Linked DNA regions of Caenorhabditis elegans. The protein of the gene in region 3 interacts with the protein of the main gene of each other region in a biochemical or structural test. Each region holds a gene or a part of one and is shown on either strand. Other genes may lie near its edges.

The links.
Region 1: the proteins of icp-1 (region 3) and csc-1 form a complex in vitro, tested with the Caenorhabditis elegans proteins (one study listed by BioGRID).
Region 2: the proteins of icp-1 (region 3) and air-2 form a complex in vitro, tested with the Caenorhabditis elegans proteins (4 studies listed by BioGRID, with this or other methods).
Region 4: the proteins of icp-1 (region 3) and air-1 form a complex in vitro, tested with the Caenorhabditis elegans proteins (one study listed by BioGRID).

The regions. Positions count from the first base shown.
Region 1 is NC_003280.10:13,595,315-13,599,256, forward strand, and holds csc-1 (Chromosome segregation and cytokinesis defective protein 1), read left to right. Parts: upstream 1-1,640; 5' UTR 1,641-1,641; coding exon 1,642-1,708; intron 1,709-1,761; coding exon 1,762-2,050; intron 2,051-2,108; coding exon 2,109-2,204; intron 2,205-2,262; coding exon 2,263-2,560; 3' UTR 2,561-2,633; downstream 2,634-3,942. Other genes in the region: fbxc-23 (FTH domain-containing protein), read right to left, coding at 1-147, 197-379, 841-1,135, 1,177-1,229. UniProt on the Caenorhabditis elegans protein: Component of the chromosomal passenger complex (CPC), a complex that acts as a key regulator of chromosome segregation and cytokinesis during mitosis.
Region 2 is NC_003279.8:5,935,850-5,940,185, forward strand, and holds air-2 (Aurora/IPL1-related protein kinase 2), read left to right. Parts: upstream 1-1,627; 5' UTR 1,628-1,634; coding exon 1,635-1,702; intron 1,703-1,751; coding exon 1,752-1,860; intron 1,861-1,936; coding exon 1,937-2,304; intron 2,305-2,367; coding exon 2,368-2,641; intron 2,642-2,741; coding exon 2,742-2,840; 3' UTR 2,841-3,027; downstream 3,028-4,336. Other genes in the region: B0207.6 (GPN-loop GTPase 2), read right to left, coding at 1-28, 356-554, 712-819, 937-1,095. UniProt on the Caenorhabditis elegans protein: Serine/threonine-protein kinase component of the chromosomal passenger complex (CPC), a complex that acts as a key regulator of chromosome segregation and cytokinesis.
Region 3 is NC_003279.8:2,303,820-2,309,226, forward strand, and holds icp-1 (Inner centromere protein ARK-binding domain-containing protein), read right to left. Parts: upstream 2,972-5,407; 5' UTR 2,968-2,971; coding exon 2,884-2,967; intron 2,837-2,883; coding exon 2,651-2,836; intron 2,601-2,650; coding exon 1,812-2,600; intron 1,761-1,811; coding exon 1,080-1,760; intron 1,026-1,079; coding exon 897-1,025; 3' UTR 694-896; downstream 1-693. Other genes in the region: tpxl-1 (TPX2 domain-containing protein), read right to left, coding at 1-380, 429-573; Y39G10AR.9 (WD_REPEATS_REGION domain-containing protein), read left to right, coding at 3,448-3,495, 3,585-3,673, 3,717-4,071, 4,143-4,722, 4,776-4,963; 5-cytosine rRNA methyltransferase nsun-4, read left to right, coding at 5,158-5,390.
Region 4 is NC_003283.11:8,219,674-8,224,891, reverse strand, and holds air-1 (Aurora kinase), read right to left. Parts: upstream 3,405-5,218; 5' UTR 3,392-3,404; coding exon 3,341-3,391; intron 3,297-3,340; coding exon 3,235-3,296; intron 3,190-3,234; coding exon 3,004-3,189; intron 2,951-3,003; coding exon 2,807-2,950; intron 2,763-2,806; coding exon 2,654-2,762; intron 2,612-2,653; exon of another isoform or gene 2,443-2,611; intron 2,379-2,442; coding exon 2,151-2,378; intron 2,114-2,150; exon of another isoform or gene 1,919-2,113; intron 1,855-1,918; coding exon 1,654-1,854; 3' UTR 1,310-1,653; downstream 1-1,309. Other genes in the region: cogc-6 (Conserved oligomeric Golgi complex subunit 6), read left to right, coding at 3,688-3,777, 3,826-3,966, 4,013-4,526, 4,573-4,808, 4,857-5,218.

The DNA.
Region 1 (3,942 bases), on a different chromosome or scaffold from region 3:
GTCCTGAATCCAGTTTTCGCAGAGATTTACAACTTTCGGGGAGGTCATATTATAATCTAAGAATATCCAAGGAGATTGGAGATTTGAAATCGCGCGAATCGGAATTGCACGTGATGATTTTATACACAGCTTCTTGGCTGAATATATCTGGAAGGAAACAACAAATTTCTGTGAATTTTCAAATTTCAGACTCTACCACAGGCTCCGCCAGAATCAAGTAATCCATTCCAACAAAATCCACCTCCGCCGTCTCGAACGGGCGAGCTCGGAGGCAATCAAACCAGGTCGTGTAGTCATATCTCAGGGATTCAATCCGCATTCTTACAAAAATGTGTCGAATATTCAATTGGCAGCACGCCTCGAGACCATATGGATGATTCTGCAAACGCACGACGGTCTCGTCACGACAAAATTTCGTTAATTGATAAAAGGTGTGCGCCTTTAAAGAGCACTGTAATTGAAAACTTTCGTTGCTCACGCGGGATCCTGGCCTTGCTCATTGAATTTTTCGCGCTCCATTGATAATCTCCCGCTGGACAACGCGTGGGAAAGTCGTGTACTCCACACGGACACGTACATTTCGTTTTACAACTAAAACCGAGCCGCGACGCGACACGCAACGCACCTTAAATCTACCCCAGATATGGCCGAGCCAAAATGGACTAGTTCGGCCTAAACTCTTCCATTTCAATTTATGAGGGAAGCCAGAAATCTGTGAAAACTAGAAGAAAATAATTAAAAACCCCAAATTTCCAACAAATTATAGAAAAAACTAGATAACACAAAAATTTGTAATTACAGTACTCTTTAAAGGCGCACACATAATCGCGTAAGAATTACCAGAATTTGCAGTGTATGAATACTTGTTCCTGGTCGATTTAAATAGAAATCCACCAATTTCCGAAAGGTTTCAGTCTGTGAATCTTCAGGACTTGCAATTAAAATTCCGAATTGTTGAACTCCACCGAATAAAACGTTGGCGCCAAGCTGAGCAGTTTGAATATTGAAATTATATTTTTTATCAATCGAAAAGTGCCAGTCCTCCCTTGTTGTATCGATTTTTATACAATTAAAGTGATAGGGAAGCTTTTTTTCAAGCTTGCGAAATATCGAGTTGAAATTTGCAAGATGGCTTCTGTAATCGTGTTTTCAAATGGATTCTAAAATAAAACCCACTTCTTGTCAAATGATAAATATTTGAATATGCATGGGACGCTTTCAGAATACATTTTAAGCTGAAATATTATCAATAATTGCAGCAAAAAAGGCAAAATTGCGAAATTTCTTGCTACGAAATTTTCTTCAGTGAAAATTAATTGTTCTAGTTGGTATCAAGTGTATGCAAATGGAAAAACGGTAAAAAATATATTTCAAATCATGTTTTCATAAGTTTGTCTTTATAAATCTTTATTCCAGACCTGTTTCCTTCTTTTGCGCGTGGGGTACGGTACGCAGTCCGCAAACACCGAATGCGAGCGCGAAAATTTTTCGATTAATTTTATAATTTTTTCCGCCATTTTTCTCATTTTCCACGCATTTTTCGATTTCTTTTGTGATTTTTACCTTAAAAAAGTTAATTTTCACGTTAATTTCCCTCAAAAATTCGATTTTCTCCGATTATTTCTCATTATTTTCTTCAGAATGCCACCACGCAAGATCAAGAAGGACCCGGCTGTGGTTGCGATGGCGGATACTCTCGAGACGCGTGGTAAGCTTGAAGATCTCCAGTAATTTATTATATTTAAATAATTTATTTTCCAGTCAAGGACTTACTCGAGGAGTATAAGAAGAAGCTGCGGGAGGTCGCCCTTCAGACAGCAAAGGCTGAATCCGACCGGATCATCGCCACAATCAAGCCAAAATACAGGGATATGCCGATCATGGAGTTTCTGGCATCGCCACCGGATGATTTCTACATTGAATCCGGCGAGGAGGAGGAGGAAGGAGAAGCGGCGGTGGCGGTTAAGCAGGAGCTTCCTTCCGAGCCTGACATGGAAATCGACGACGCGGCGGCGGCGCAAAAGACGAGCATTCCGATTGGCCAGAACTCGTAAGTTTTCAAAAAAATCCAAATTTCCGCCATTTACTTTTATCAATAAATTTTCCAGCGGCCGGAACACGGTGCAGGTCAAGCAGGAGCCTGAAATCGACGACGATGCGGCGCATGAGACGAGCATTCCGATTGCTCCATCTGGCCAGAACTCGTAAGTTTTCAACAAAAAAAAAATCGATTTCTCAATAAATAAATTAATTTTTTTTCAGCGGCAGGAACACGGCGGCCGACGAGCACCGCCGCAACGAGATCATAACGCCAGCTGGACAAGTGCTCCCACTGCCAACACTTCAACCGGAAAAGCCATTCCGTGCTCCACACGTTGACGAGGAAATCGCCTTCTCGGTGAACGGATCGCCACTGGTCTTGGCTGGAAGAACTACTGCTACTGCTGCTGGCAAGGAGAATCGGAAGAAGTCGAAGAAATCTGGTGCGGCGAGCAAGAAGGCAGCGGCAGCAGCCGGGCCTCTCCAGCCGGAAACTGAAAATGCCGGGACGTCTGTATAGGAAAAATCCCCCGATTTAATTTTTCCCCCGCTTTAATTTTTATAATGATCTGTAAATACTTGATATTTCAATTTTTCCCGTCTTTTACCTTTTATATGCAAATTTTTTGATCTCAACGATCGTTTGATTCTCTAAATAGACTGCAAAAAATTTGACTGCAAAAAATCGAAAAAAAATTAGTTTTTTTTCAGAGAAAATCGGAAAGAAAACTTCCAGCCTTCTTGTACTACTCTTGGACAACTGTGAACTAGTTATTTAAACAGTTTTTGACAAGAATCCGCGATTTTGTTCAACTTACGCTAATTCTTTTTGTGTTTTACATCAGCGGTGGACGCCAAACTGTCGGAATTGAAGATTTCCGGCAAATCTGTAATTTGCCGGAATTGAATATTTGCGGCAAATCTGTAATTTGCCGGAATTGAATATTTGCGGCAAATCTGTAATTTGCCGGAATTAAATGTTTCCGGAACATCGGCAAATTGCCGGTATTAAATGTTTCCGGAACATCGGCAAATTGCCGGAATTGAGTATTTCCGGTAATTCGGCAAATTGCCGGAATTGAGTATTTCCGGCAAATCGGCAAATTGCCGGAATTGAAATTTCCAGCAAATCGGCAAATTGCCGTAAATGATTATTTCCGGCAAATCGGCAAATTGCCGGAATTAAATATTTCCGTAGATAAAGTTTTTACAGAAAAGTCATCAACTGATAAGTTGTTGATATTGTTGTAAAGAACAAGTTTGTAGTTGAAAGTTTTTTACCAAAAAATTTTTGTTTGAGATAAATAAAACCGCGTGAAGTGCGGCTTATGATCCTTTGAAGCTGAAGGATCAGATCACCAGGAGGTACCCTTCTTATCCTTCGGAGCTGAATGATCAGATTACCAGGAGGTACTCTTCTTATCCTTCGGAGCTGAATGATCAGATCACCAGGAGGTACCCTTCTGATCCTTCGGAGCTGAAGGATCAGATCACCAGGAGGTACCCTTCTTATCCTTCGGAGCTGAATGATCAGATTACCAGGAGGTACTCTTCTTATCCTTCGGAGCTGAATGATCAGATCACCAGGAGGTACCCTTCTTATCCTTTGAAGCTGAAGGATCAGATCACCAGGAGGTACCCTTCTTATCCTTCGGAGCTGAATGATCAGATTACCAGGAGGTACTCTTCTTATCCTTCGGAGCTGAATGATCAGATCACCAGGAGGTACCCTTCTGATCCTTCGGAGCTGAAGGATCAGATCACCAGGAGGTACCCTTCTTATCCTTCGGAGCTGAATGATCAGATTACCAGGAGGTACTCTTCTTATCCTTCGGAGCTGAAGGATCAGATCACCAGGAGGTACCCTTCTTATCCTTCGGAGCTGAATGATCAGATTACCAG
Region 2 (4,336 bases), 3.6 Mb from region 3:
TGTGGCATCTCCATTGTTACCATTGTCGCTGAAATTGAAGCTTTTTAATGAATATAATTTTAATTTGTTCCTTTCAGCCACACAAAATTTAAAGTGGTTCCGAATTTCAATTTTTTCCATCTAAAATCAAATAAATAACAAAAATAGGTTTCAGATTAAATGAAAGTTTTATGTGCCAGAAAGATATTGCATTTCTTAGCCAGAAATACATAAAGGCCCATGGAGTTTCAAAATTGTACAGAACAAAAATAAATTTTCATTTTTTGGAGGAAATCAGCTGAATTATATTTGGAAATTTCGGGTCGAGAGACAAGAAAAGTATTTCAATTTTTTTTTAATCTTAATGAACTCTTACCTAATGTGGATAATGCAACAGAAATGAATTTCGATGGGTCACTGCAGTAAAGTGAATCGGCAAGATGTAAGGCACATAGTCTAACACCGGATTTTTCCAAAAAGCGGATAACTTTCCATAGTTCGCCTTCGCTTTTGTATAGTTCCAACTGTCCGGGACAATCAATTATCAGATATTTCTTGTGATTCGCTTCGATTTTCTGAAAAAAGATTTAATTGAATATTAAAACTACAAAGAGGTTAAAAATGATTTCCGATTTTCTCGATTCAAATTTAGAGAATTCCAGATTTTAGCTCAATTGTTGTGAAAACAATTTTTAGCTTTTGAGAATTAACTTTTTCTGCCAAAAAAATTACCTGGAGGAGCCAATTACAATTAGCTCCAAGTGTTTCAATACAGTATTTGAGAGCTCCATTTGGTCCAAGTCCAAGTCGATCCATTACATCATTCACAGTGATCATTTCCTAAACTTTAGTATTTTAAATGAAAAATATGACCTTAAGTATTAAAATAACATTGATAGATGATCTGTACCACGTTTCATAATTATTGTCCTATATTCATTGGAATAAAATACTTACAGTGATATTTACATCAGGTGCGTATGCCATTGTGTCATTAGCAGGATCAAGATTGATAGTGAGAAATGGTCGTTTGGTTTGTGAGAAAATGTCCGTTAATCCTGCACAAAATGTAGATTTTCCAGCTCCAGGAGCTCCAATTACAAGAACTCCGTACATAGTCCAATGAGTACTGAAATTTTCTAGTTGAATCTTAATTTTCTACGGATTGTTTTGATAGGAAAACATTTAAGAAGAACAAAAATATATAAATACAATTTAATTTAATTTAAAACAAACAAAAAAGCAGGATAAACGGGCCTGGCACAGGGCCAAGTACGCATTTACACCGTACATGACGACATATTGCGGACCATTGCATTTTGCCGCGTTAATTTTTTATTTAAACGGCTTGCATTTCTCCTTACTATCCAGCTGACAATTTTTAGTTTCTTTAGAATTATTTGCAATCAAAACTCGTTTTTTGTAAACATATTTACTCAGGTAATGTGTTGATTTCTCACTTTTTTTTGAAATCAAAGCAGAATTAGTCCTATTTTTATTCTACATAAATATCTAAATGTATTCAATTAAAAATTGGGCCATTGAACTTCTAATTAATTCAATTTATAAATTTATCGTGATGTTTTCTTTTAGTTAATTTGTCCTTAATCGTGCCGTCTATTTTATTTCTTCATAAAAAACTTTTCAGTTCCGACATGGAGAATAAGCCACCTGTAATCAACCTTCCAGAGAAGGAAACTGTGAATACTCCACAGAAGGGAGGGTAAGAAATCAAGGTTTTAAAAGTTTATAAATTATTCTTGATTTTACAGAAAATTTACTATTAACGATTTCGAGATCGGAAGACCACTGGGAAAAGGAAAATTCGGCAGTGTTTACCTGGCTCGCACAAAAACTGGACATTTCCATGTAGCGATCAAGGTAACATATTGATTTATTTTGTATTTATTTGAATTATCATTTTTCTGACATCCGTTTTACCCATACATATTTTCAGGTTCTATTCAAATCGCAACTCATCTCAGGAGGCGTCGAGCATCAATTGGAGCGTGAAATTGAGATTCAATCTCATTTGAATCACCCGAATATTATCAAGCTCTACACATATTTTTGGGATGCGAAGAAGATCTATCTCGTTTTGGAATATGCCCCCGGAGGCGAAATGTACAAGCAATTGACAGTGAGCAAGAGATTCTCAGAGCCAACAGCTGCAAAATATATGTATGAGATCGCAGATGCTTTGTCATATTGCCACAGGAAAAATGTGATTCATCGCGACATTAAACCGGAGAATTTGCTTATCGGATCACAAGGAGAATTGAAAATTGGAGATTTTGGATGGAGTGTTCATGCTCCTTCGAATAAGTGAGTTTATCCTCAAATTTAGGAAATCTAGATGTTTCCAAAAATTCACTGTCATGTTTTCAGGCGCCAAACAATGTGCGGAACAATGGACTATCTCCCTCCTGAAATGGTGAATGGAGCCGATCACAGTGACGCAGTTGACTTATGGGCAATCGGCGTTCTCTGCTATGAGTTTCTCGTTGGAAAACCCCCATTCGAGCACGAAGATCAGTCCAAGACATATGCGGCAATCAAAGCGGCACGGTTTACTTACCCTGATTCTGTGAAGAAGGGTGCACGAGATTTGATTGGAAGATTGCTTGTCGTTGATCCCAAGGCTCGCTGTACGCTTGAACAGGTTTGTTATTGATTTCAGCTTAGTGGCCAACATATTATCAGCACACAGAAGTACACTTTTGTAGTGTTCTTAATTATCATAATTCATTAAATTATTACAGGTGAAGGAACACTACTGGATCCAGGGAATGATGGAGGCAAAAATTAGAGCTGAGAAGCAGCAAAAGATTGAAAAAGAAGCAAGTCTTCGGAATCACTGATCAACTACTGATTTTCCCGTCCTTCTTTCAATCATCTCGTCTGTCTGTCAAATAAAGGATCTCATCACATTTACTAGAAATTTTAAAAAGTGAAATAACTTGTCAACCAATTTTTCATGTAGTTTTTGTTTCGCGAACTCTATTATTCCCAATCGTCTAACCCCATTCATTCAACATAAATTTATTTTCTTTTCTCGTTCTCCATCTTTCTCAATATATCTACAACAACTCAATTAGTACCTCCCGAGATTTTCTCCTTTTTCAGATGTCGCGTAGACTCGCACTCGGAGCAGCTGCTTCTTTTCGTTGAGGTTCATTTGCATTTTTAGATTTTTGAGAAAAAAAAAAAAATAAAATTTAAAAGCGACAAGAAAATTTCGATTTTCTTTAGGATTATTTTATCACACCGTGCGACTTTATAGTCCCAAAAGGAAAAATAACAACTAAGCTTAGTACTGAGTACACTTGAAATTTCAAAACATGAGGTTTTTGAAATTCACGTGCTCCAACAATTTCAAGCACTTCTTGTGCCCTTTTTAAGTCCTCGAAAACTTATAATTTTTTCAGTAAGTGGTGCGGGGACATTTTCAAAAAGTTGTTTTTCTCAAACAAAGCATATTTCACAAGATGTCATTCTGGACAACAAAAAATTAAATTAAATTTTTAAATTACAGGGAACTTTTACCGATTAAGCGCGGGCGGTGTAATTATAGGTTTCGATGATGTGGTACTTTGGCTATAATTTAGTTATACAACTAGAATTTTCTAATTTTTTTATTTTCTTTCGAGATTTCTGAGAACACATTTTTATTTGAGAACTCATGCTAATTGCTGAACCGTTTTCTCCGATTTCTTCAAAAATCTCACATTTTTTGTCTGATTAAGAAAATTAAAGTTTCATTTTTCACTTGTGAATAACGCATCTTTTGAAATCAGAATGCAATCGCGCTCCAACGCCAAATAGAAAGACTCCGCCCCGATAATTTGGGTCTCGTTAGGTATTTGCGGAAAATACGTAAATGTATTATTTTTCCAAAATTTTCATTCAGTTTCGTTGATTTCACTCGTTTTCAATCATTTTTTCGTGAAATTTTGTTGTTCATTTTATTATAGCAAAATATAGCCAAAAATAGCCAAAAATTCGAAAATTCTATTAAACTAGGGTAATCGACGAAAATAGCCAAAAGTATGACTGGCGGAGCACTCTGATTCCAATGTTTGTGAACCTTATGATTTTTCAATTAATGAACCTGAAATTTCGACGTACTTAGCTAACTGAATAATCAATTAAAAATAGTCCAAGTAGTGACGTCTCACTTTTTTTCGAATGCGGATATTGAAAAATCAGCTGCTGCCGAATCGACAATCATCGATCTCCTAACACTCTTCTTACCTGAAACTTCTTGAGTCACGGTTATTTTCAACAAAAAATGATTTTTTTATGTGTTGGTTTCTGCGTTTATTCGTATTTGGAACTATGTAGAAGTCAAGTACGA
Region 3 (5,407 bases):
AGTTCCGGACGCTGGAGCAATGACGGATGTCCTCTTATCTTCCTCTTCTTTCTTTCTCTGCTCTGAACGGCGACGCTGCGAAAGACGTTCCTCTGGAGCTTTTGGTGCAAACATTGACAATTTCTCAAGTCCCTCGATTAGCTGATTTTCTCCACCGCTTCCTGAAGCTGATGCGTCCTCGTTTGGCACGATTTTGAGTGGTTCTCTGATTGGTTGCTGCTGCTTCTCTTCTGTGTTGTCATTTTGACTTGCGTTGATTACAGTGGATTCCGATGAAGACGAAAGAAGATTATCGATAGTTGGAGATGGGAGATCATCATCGGATTCCCGCTTCGTCTTGGGAAGTTGCATTTTGACCGGCGTGTCGCATTCCAGGCTTGCTGGAAATTAAAACTTTATTATGAAAAATAATATTTGAATAGTCTTACGAAAGTGATTTTCGAAGTATGACGTCTCACACGGCTGGTCTCTGCTCGGCGAGCTCGATAATCTCGAATAGTCCTTGACTTTCGGTACAGCAAAGCTGCTGAAGAAATTCTCATCGAATTCCTGAATGGTTTGACTTTTGCTCATCCTATAAGAAAGAAATAAATGATAATTTGAATTCTAACTGATAGAAAAATAAATAAATAAATAAACTCGTGAATTCAGAACACGTTAATCAATGAGTGAACAATAAAATAAAAATCGGCTGAAGAATTATTATTTACAGCGAAAAAAAAATTTAATGTAAAGTTAGGGCCGATGGAGTTTTTGTATTCTCCGTTAAAAAGGGGGAAACATTGAAAATAAAAAATAACTCAATACGAAATATAAAAACATTTTACAATTTTTGAAAAAAGATTATGTCGCATGCTGGAGCGACTCCTGGCGATGTAAGCTGCTTCGGTACAACATCATTCCGAAATGTCTTGAAGAATTGTGCGAGACGACGTGTTTAACGTTGATGGACTCTTTTTCCACACTGCTGACGATCCGCGCTTCTTGACTTTGACAGCATCACTAAAGATTTCCTTTAGATTTGGCTGAAAATTTTTAAATTTTTACTGAAGGAGCTGCAAGAAAAAAAAAACAATTACCTTTCCAATCGATCCGAAGAATTGAGCCACGTCGAATGGTGGATTAATGGCATGTCTTCTGACATTCTCACGGACAACTGCGAATTCGGCCCAAGCCGGGACATCTTTGCGTGGATCATCTTCTTGATCTGTCTCGTCATCACTGTTAAGATCGTTCAAACCATAGTCATTCTTTGAGTTGTTTTGATAGGTACGTGGCGGAGTCATTTCGTAGGCTGCAGGTGGTGGCGTTTTTCGAAGAGCTTCCTGACGAGCTTGTTTCTCCGCGCATCTTGCGAGTGTTGCCTGGAGCTCTGCCTCTTCTCGCTCTCTTTGCTTCTCCAGCTGAGCTTGCTCTTCTCTCTGAACGGCCAGAAAATGCTCCTGCTCTTCTCGAGCTCTGAGTTGACGCTCCTTCTCCGCTTTCTCTTTCATTTCCTTCTGCTCCCGCTTTCGTCGTTCATCTTCTGCTAACTGTAGCAGATACTGCTCCTGTTCCAGCTGAATACGTTGCTGTTCCTGAAGAGCGGCAAGTGCGGCAGCAGCTTCAACATTTGATGTAGAAGACGAAGCTGCGTGGGCCGATCGTTTCGTCGCTTTCGCCTTTGGTTTATGTTGACGCGCCGGTGGAGTTGAATCATCACAGCTCATCGGCTCCATTTTGACTTGCCGGCTACCGTTTCGTTGCAATTCTCGGGAAGGCTGAAATGAGTTAAATTATTATTAGGAAAATACAATCAAGTAAATACTCACCGATAGTTCAACGGTCGGCTGAGCCACAGGAGCAGTCTTCTGTCCATCTGAGCCAATTAGAATCTCAACTTTTCCCTTCTTAGCAGGGCCTCGACCAGGAGTGGATGTGCTTTCCGCCGTTGGGAAGATTTTTCTACTTGCAGCCTTGTTTGGAGCATGGTCTTGCATCAAACGAGCTCTTGTTGGCGACTTTGCACTGTTGTGAAGTTTCGCCAAATTAGCATTACGCTCTTCCTTTTGCTTCAACTGGTCGAGCTTTTCCTGACGAACTCTTTCCTGCTCTTTTCTGCGCTCCATGACAGCATTCCGCTTCTCCTCGTCCTTCCGTGCTTTCTCCCTTTTCTTCTCGAGCTCTTTCATCCGGAGCTCATCAGCATGCTTCATCCTTGCATTCGGATCTTTTTCTGCATCATTGAACGGAATCACACGATGGGGCGTCCTTGGAACCACAGCTGCACGGCCGGGAGTTCCTGCCATACGTCCAGGTGTTGACGAGAAAATGTTGCGCGGAGTAGCTTGATTGTGAGCCTCACGCGGTGGATTTCTGCGAGGAGTGCCACTGTACGCTGCATTTCGTGAGATGCTTCCTTCGGTCTTCTTTTTGGATATGCTCATTTGCTGCATGCGCTTCAACGTGACTGGCAATATGTCCTCTTCGAAATCACCATCAGTCGCTACTGAGCCGGCTCGTGGAGTGATGGGTCCTGCTTGATCTGTCTCGACTTCGTCGGTTTCCATATCATCATCTCCGCGGTGACTTGAACTGGACGGTTGAGCGGGTTTCGCTTTCTGAAAAAAATAAGCATTGACGGAATAAAGTAAATTTGAGATTTTCTTACCTGTCTTGAAATCAACTCAACAAACTCAGCATCAATGCGTCCGGGTTTTAGGACGGCATTTAATAGCTGTTCCGCCGAGAATTGAGGCGTGGCCAGTTCTTCTGTGATCGAGGACATCCTCTTGTACAGATCTGCGAAAACTTTTGCAGCCGCGTCGTCATGAGCCTCGCTTACTTCATCGAATATCTGAAAGAAATATTTTATATCAAAAGAAATTATTCATAAACACAAACCGACGAAATTTTCGGGATACTCGAAAACAGTTTGATGGTGGGCTCGGCTGGCTTTCGCGAGACTGCGCGCTTTTTTGGTGGCATCTTTCTGGAAAAAAAAACTGATTTAAACTCTGTAAAATTTTCGAAAAGATGAACAAAAGTCGAAAAACGAGCGGGAAAACAATGGGAGGGCTGACAATTCGAATGGAAACGATTCCCGCGCGTGCGCAAACATAGTAGGGTGTACAATAGAGCAGGGTTGCCAAGCGCCTCATTCGACAAAAACAAAGATGTTTAAATAGATGTTTCGGCTATACAAATTATTCAGAAACTGCTGGACAAAGTTGGAGAAAAGTAAGATTTTAAAGGAAAAAACAGGTTTTTAAACGAGATTGGAGTGTTATAACGGGAATTGTTGAGTTTTTAAGTGATAGATTTTAATTTTTCATCCAAAAATTACGAAAGTAGTCTCAAAAACACGATAAAACTTTAAGAAATTCCCAGAAATTCGCCTAAAAAACAAAAAAACCCGCTTTGCGAAATCCTAAATATCTCACCACGAAAACCTACCATCAAAGCCGCATGGCCATAAACGGTAGTAAAGGCATCGGCACGACTTTGCAAACTACGGTAGATATTTTCTTTTATCATTCTTAATAGTTTTCAGAGAGAAAAATCGCTTTTATGTATTCTTTCCCTCCTAAAACTGATTATTCCAGATAAAAATGGAAGCTGAAACAGCCCAAAATCCATCGAAAAACATTGACGAAACGCTTTCAATTCAACATGATTGGCACCTCAATTTGAGGTAAATTAATATACATTTCCATGGAAATTTATTTTTTTTTCAGAGAACCAGTCTCGCAGTTCTACCTCGGAATCAAGAAATTCGAGGCTACGAAAACCGAATTCTTCCAAGTACAGATCACAAAGCTTGTTGATGAGTACGGATTCGCTGTGATGCCAGAGGAAGGCTCAATTAAATCTTCCGACTTCACTGATGTTTCTCTCGATGAGCATAAAAATCTACATGTCACTTTCCAAGGGAGAACCACAATTTTCGTCGGTCCTACCAGTGAGCAGAACCTCCGAGGGCTACAATCAGCGCCGCGCTCGTTCGACGTTTCATGTACCGGAAGCACTTTTGTTGCAGCTGATTCGAGCGGAAAGCTGATCATTGCGAATTCGAGAACTGCCGAGACTCTAGTGGGTCTTTAAAAACAATATTTTAGCGCAAAATTTTGATGATTTTCACCTGAAAATTTAATAATTTTCAGACAGAACTCACCGGCCACACTATGGACATCTACCGCTGCATGTATTTCCCGTCGGGTCTCGTCGTTATTGGCGGTGGAATGGATATGGCGATCAGAGTATGGGCAGTGGATAAAGTGCCGGCTCAGAAGACGTTCGTCGGGCACACAAAGGCAGTAACAGGCTTCGGGATCATCGGAGTTGGACGAGAGTTCCTCTCGTGCTCCAACGACGGAACAGTACGATTTTGGAGCTGCAAAAATGCTGCGCCAACCGAAACATGGAGCTTCGAGAAGGGAAAATGCATTGACATGGCAATGTCAGTGGATGACTCGAGATTCGCTGTCATCTGCGAAAACAATTTCCTATCAGCGATTGATCTGCACGGCGACAAGATTCGGCGTGATATTCAGCTTCCTTCCGTTCCTACGGCTCTCTGTTTTTCCGGAGATGAAGGTGGAAAAGCGGTGTTCGTCGGGTTTGAGGATGGCCACGTGGCGGCCTATAACGTGTCGGATCGCCGGTTAATCGGGGAAATTGTCACCAAAAAAGGAAGCGTCACCTGCCTCAAATACTATTGCAATCGACTAATTGCATCATTCAGTGAGAAAATATGAGCTTCAAACTTTATATTTAAAAAATAAATTAATTTTCAGCCACCGGAAATGTTCTCGCCTTTCCGATCCTTTCCCTTCCCACCTCGTCAAGCATCATCTCCGCCGAGTACGAGCTAACCGGTGCCGATTGTGAGCCGGTGTACGATATGGCGATTTATCAGAAGAATATTTATACATGTTGTCGTGATGGCAAAATTCGAACTTACAAGGCGCAATGGAGCTTGTAATTGAGTATTATTATATATTTCTTATGTTTAACTATTATTGAACTACATATTTTTGAATATAAATCTGTGATTAACCGGTAGAAATCCCAATTTATTTTGTTTTTAATTTGGTCCTAAAACCTTTTATTTCATCAGTTTTACCAATTTTCCCTTTTTTTTTCTAAAATTACTTGAATAAGTAAATTTAATTCAGAATGAGCTGTCTGCGACAATCCTCACAATCGTTCTATTTCACTCAAATTAGATGGAAAACTGTCAAGTTCAAGACAAAAATCGCAAAAACGAAGCCACTGAAAACGCCATCAGCCCAGGCGCTGGATCATTTTGATTTTTATTATGGCCCACTTTTTGGAAAGAAATGGCCAAGTATTCGGCTGGGCCTTCTGTCTCCGAATCGATATTTAGCAGTTATGAATACAATGAGCAGGTTCGGAAATCTGAAAT
Region 4 (5,218 bases), on a different chromosome or scaffold from region 3:
TCTCAAAGCTCTCAAGGCTCCGCCTATTATAAGGCAAGGGGGGGGGGGCAAACAGTAGCTGCATAGGTATTTGTTGAGATTATTAGGGGGAAACGATGGGACTTTGCCAAATAGGAACCAGCCGGTGGGAATATGATTGTTGGTTACTGTAGGCAGTTGAACTTGACAATGTTTTACCCATGATTCCATTTAAGGATGAAGTTACACGGGTGTGTTTTAACATCTGAAGTCGTGGAAGCTCGTGGTTTAAATATCTGACGTCACAAATCTTTTCGAAGCCTATAGACTCCTGTGGTGTTAATTTCTGAAGAATAAACTGTTTTGACATAAACTTGTCAAATCCAGGTGTTGATACGGTATTTATTCTTAGGTTTTTTAGTACATCTCAGTCCACATGTGACGGCATTGCTTTTCCACCAACGACTGCGTGATTTTCTTCGATTTCGAAGGCATGGAACACACGGACACCTGAGAAATGTCACTGTTTTTTTCTAGCTGCTAAATTGTTTATGAAAACAGATAAATATAAAAATTCAAAAAATTGAGCAACGTAATATCGTCATATCCAATCAACCACTTGACAAACACCTCTAGTGCATATCTACGGGTCATCTTGTTTGTACTCACCTAAATTGACTACATATATCCAAATCTCCATCAAATAAATGGTTAGTAATCACCGGATATGTAACAACCAGATGGTAACGACCAGTTATTCGCGCAAATATTAAACATTTTTGTGCATTATTCTAGTATCTAATTGATCAGTTCATTTCAAGGATTACAGTTATTATTAAACATTAGAAAGAAATGTTTATATTGTATTTTCACGAAATGCTGAGATATCAGTTAAAAGGCACACGATGTTTTCCTGAGTGGGTCTCGGCACGAACTCAGTCATAGTGAGGTTCCAAAATTTACAGATTTTTTCATTTGATATGGAAAATGTACTATACGAATTTTGAAATTCTGAAATGTACAGAAAAAACTAGAATTTTTCATGTAGCACATAGCACCTAGCTAGGATAAAGTTTTTGCGAATGTACGATATTTAAGGCTCTCTGCCAGATACCACTTAACGTTGTTAAACCTCCGCTTTATGTTTCAAACTTTAGCTGTTCCAAAAAACGTTCCCACTCCTACCAATGTAGTGTTAACTCGTTATAATGTTTGCATACCATGCTACTTTTTTGGCGGAACAAAACAGTGCCAAAAAAGGCGGCAGCCTTCTACTTACCGCCACCACTGTTTGAGTTTTGGCTTTTAGCAGAAAGCATTGTATTTCTTCTGAGAACCAATGAACAAAGAGGTGCACCATCGTTTATGTGATAATCGAGACACTTGGATGCGAAATTTGGGAAAAAATTAATGGGGCAGACGGGAACACACGATACAGTACTTTCACGGGAATCTAATGATTTTACACACACACAAATAAAGAATAATTGATTTAGATAAATTTAAATCCTTCTCGTTGTCAGTGTGAGAAGAAACAAAAGGATGAAAACGGATAAATTGCTTAAATGGATTAGCGAAAATAAGAAGTTAGTAGCCGTATGATATACGGTTCTAAAGAAGGGAAAGTGCAGATGATAATTGTTTGGAAAGACAAGTAGAAAAGGTTGAGACTTTAATGGACAATAGACAGAGCTTTTATTGATTGGCTGTAGAATTATTGCGACTGGATTTCGTGAGCGTCGAAATGAAGAGTGGAACTTCAATGTCTTCGCGTTGCTTCATTTCCTTAATCCACGGATGAGCCATGATGTCAACAAGTGGGAGACGTTCTTGGGGTTCCTTTTTGATTATTGCATTTATCAAACTGGCAGCTCCGTCAGTCACAACACTTGGAATCTGCAAAAAAGAAGCAATTTAGATGAAACTACTTGGGAAACAAAATGGAAATGAATGTTTGAGAACTGTCCCGAGGAGAAAAGGAACCATATTGCATTAAAAGCAAACCGGCACACGCATCTCGAGCTAGACTTCTATTGCAGTTCTTTGAAGCTTCTCACAGATGAAACCGTGAGAGGCAGGAGATATATGACATGAAAAGATGAAATGGTTACCCAAACCATCACTTCATGCACATATTTCTGTTGGAGAACTGCTTATTAAGATTCTAACAAATTTAGTTCATAATTACTAACATAAATCTTGCACTCCTTGATTCTGGCGATCAATTTATCACCAGTTTGATTGGCGAACGGAGCATATCCAACAAGCATTTCGAAGAGAAGAATTCCAATTGCCCAAATGTCAACATTAAAGTCATGTGGCTGATTGGAAACCATTTCCGGAGCAAGATAATCCATGGTACCGCACAATGTATGGCGTTTCGAGTGATCAGCAACGACGGACCATCCGAAATCGGCAAGCTGAAATACAAGTCTTATTTTTTAGAAAGAATGCATAAAATGTGTTGAATTTAATTTTTACGGTAATTGTCCCGAGGAGAAAAGGAACCAGATCGCATTAAAAGCAGAACGGCACACGCATCTCGAGCTAAGCTTTTATTGCAATGTTACTGTGTGATCAGAGTATAAACTCTTTTTCAGCTAGTGACTTCTTTCGGCTCGGAGAACCAAAGGATGCACTGAGAACATTGCAGAAGACTTTTTGAGTACTTAGTTAACCATATTTATACGCGTACCTTCAGATTGAGCTTCGAATCAAGAAGAAGATTTTCAGGCTTAATGTCTCTGTGAATAACTCCTTTCGAATGGCAGTAATGCAACGCATTGGCCAGCTGTCGCACAAATCTGAGGAAATTTACTATATTTCTGAAATATCTACAAAATCACACCTTCCGGCAATGACCTCATTCACTTTGTGTCCAGGTTGTGATTGGAGGACATTAAATAATTCTCCTCTGCTGGCATAGTCGAGAATGACGAACACACGCTTGTCATCGTGAAAGTATCCATAAAGAGTGAGAATATTCGGATGACTGAAATAATATTGATTAATTGATTTGGATGAGATGACTTCGAGAAAACATACCGCAAATGATATTGAATTTCGATCTCTCTCTTCAACTGATGACTGACTCCAAGTTGAAGCAACTGTGTTTTGAAGAGTACTTTCAAAGCTATGATTCGCTTGGTCTTTTTTTCACGAGAGATGAAAACGTTTCCAAACTTTCCTTTTCCGAGAGGCCGTCCAACGTCAAAATCATCAAGACTCCAGCTAAAGTCCATTACATTGTAAAAGTAATAAATCAATTATTCTCACCATGATTCTTCCCTTGCCTGGTCAACTCTCTGAGGTCTGCTATCTTCCGTAAGTGAAATAACCTGAAGATTAGAATTGATGCCTTTCTAATTTTAATAACAATTACCTCGGCCTTCTGATCGTCTATCACAGGAGCAGTATTTTCCTTTCCGCTCATGATTAATGTAATTCTGCGAGTTGAAATATTATAATAAAATTGAGGAATAAAAAATTTAATGAGAAAGGAAAAAGAAAATCGCGACTAATTCAAGAACACGTCAAAAATTAGAACAAAGGCAGTCACTTTGAATGAATTTTGCTTGGCGGGTTGTTGAGCGGCATTGCTAAACAACACGCGCTCTGTTATTTCGGAGTGTCGTTGCTGACACGTTGCGAATAAATCAATTCTGCATTTTCTATTCCACTGAGTTCTGCGATTTTTTTCGCAGAATTCGGTGAATTTGAATCAATAAAATGTCAGTAATCGATAAAACTTCATCAGCAGTCAATCCTTTACGAGAAAAAGTGACTACTGCATGTGCAAAGAAGCTGTATAATGACAAGGTCAGCTAAAATATTAATTACAAACGAAACTTATGGCATTTCTTACAGGATTGCATCAAAATTGCTGATTTCATCACTCCACTGGTCGAAGATATGAACCTTGATTCAAATGTTGATAGGAAACTACACAATAAACTAGAACGATACGAGTTGAGACTAAACAAGGAATATTTGAGCGAGTTCGAAAAAGTTAGAATAAACCTGAAATCATTTCATTTTAAATCTGCTATTTCAGATAAATAACATTGTGCAAAAATTCGATGAGCTCTGTGTAAAAATGAACTCCACATGCACGAATTTATCAAAGCAAATGGAGACTGTAAAGTTCAAAAGTGTTGATTTGGTGCAGAAAACAGCAAGCTTGAAGGAGAAGAAAGCGAGTATAGAAAGCCGTTGTAATATGATAAATGAATTTCTCGAAAACTATTCTTTATCAAGTGAAGAGCTTCGAGAATTAGACGAATGTGAACAAAGTGGTCATCTATCGGAATTTTTCTTCAAAGTTCTTGAGAGGTGCCACGAAATTCGCGAGAACTGCAGAAATATGGTTCAGGAGCAAGGACATCTTGCCGCTTTTGAAGTGATGGAAAAAATGCAAAAAATTGACGAAAGAAGCCATGCAATTATCTGTAACAATCTGAAACGCGAATTTCAAAATCTGACAGTTGATTCTCATCAGAAAAAGCAAATTCTTTCTAAAGCTTTCAAAATCATAAGTCAGAATGATGCTGTATTCCAGCTTGCCATTGGTACGTTTAGTTCTTCAAATCTACTCACCATTAACCTAGTTTTCAGACCAATACATTTCATCTCGCTCACAAGAATTGCTCAATCAGTTTGTTGAAATTAACAAAATGGCTGTCCAAATGCCTGAAGGGTTGGCAGAACCACTGAAGGCAGTTGGAGATATGCTGACTTCGATTCACGAGCTCACGGAGCAAGAAAAACAGTTGTTCAGCTCAATTTGTTCCGCAGAAAATCTTCCGATCGTTCTTGATGAATGCCTGAAATCTTTGACTTCGCCGTTCAAGGTAAAAAGTTTAAATTATTGGACTATAATATATGATAATAGTTTACAGATTAGGGTAGAGCAACTGCTGTCGACAGAAAAAAATGCCATCACAATTTTCAAAATGGGAAATATTTTAATTTTCTATGCAAACAAGTTCGAGACTTTGATTCGAAAAGATAGTTATTTTACAATAATGCTCGCAGATCTCGTCAAAACAGTTCGTCAAGTATGTATTGCCGGTATAAATCATCACGTGGACGGACTTATGAGAAAGATGACATCACCACACTATGATCTCCTTCCAGTCCCAGAAGTTCGGCAATGCCTTTCACTTTATCACGGGCTTATTTCAATTGCTGTAAAAACAGGAGATTTGAATCTTCTTCTTGAACCAGAAAGGATCTACGAATATGTCTTGGAACCACTTAT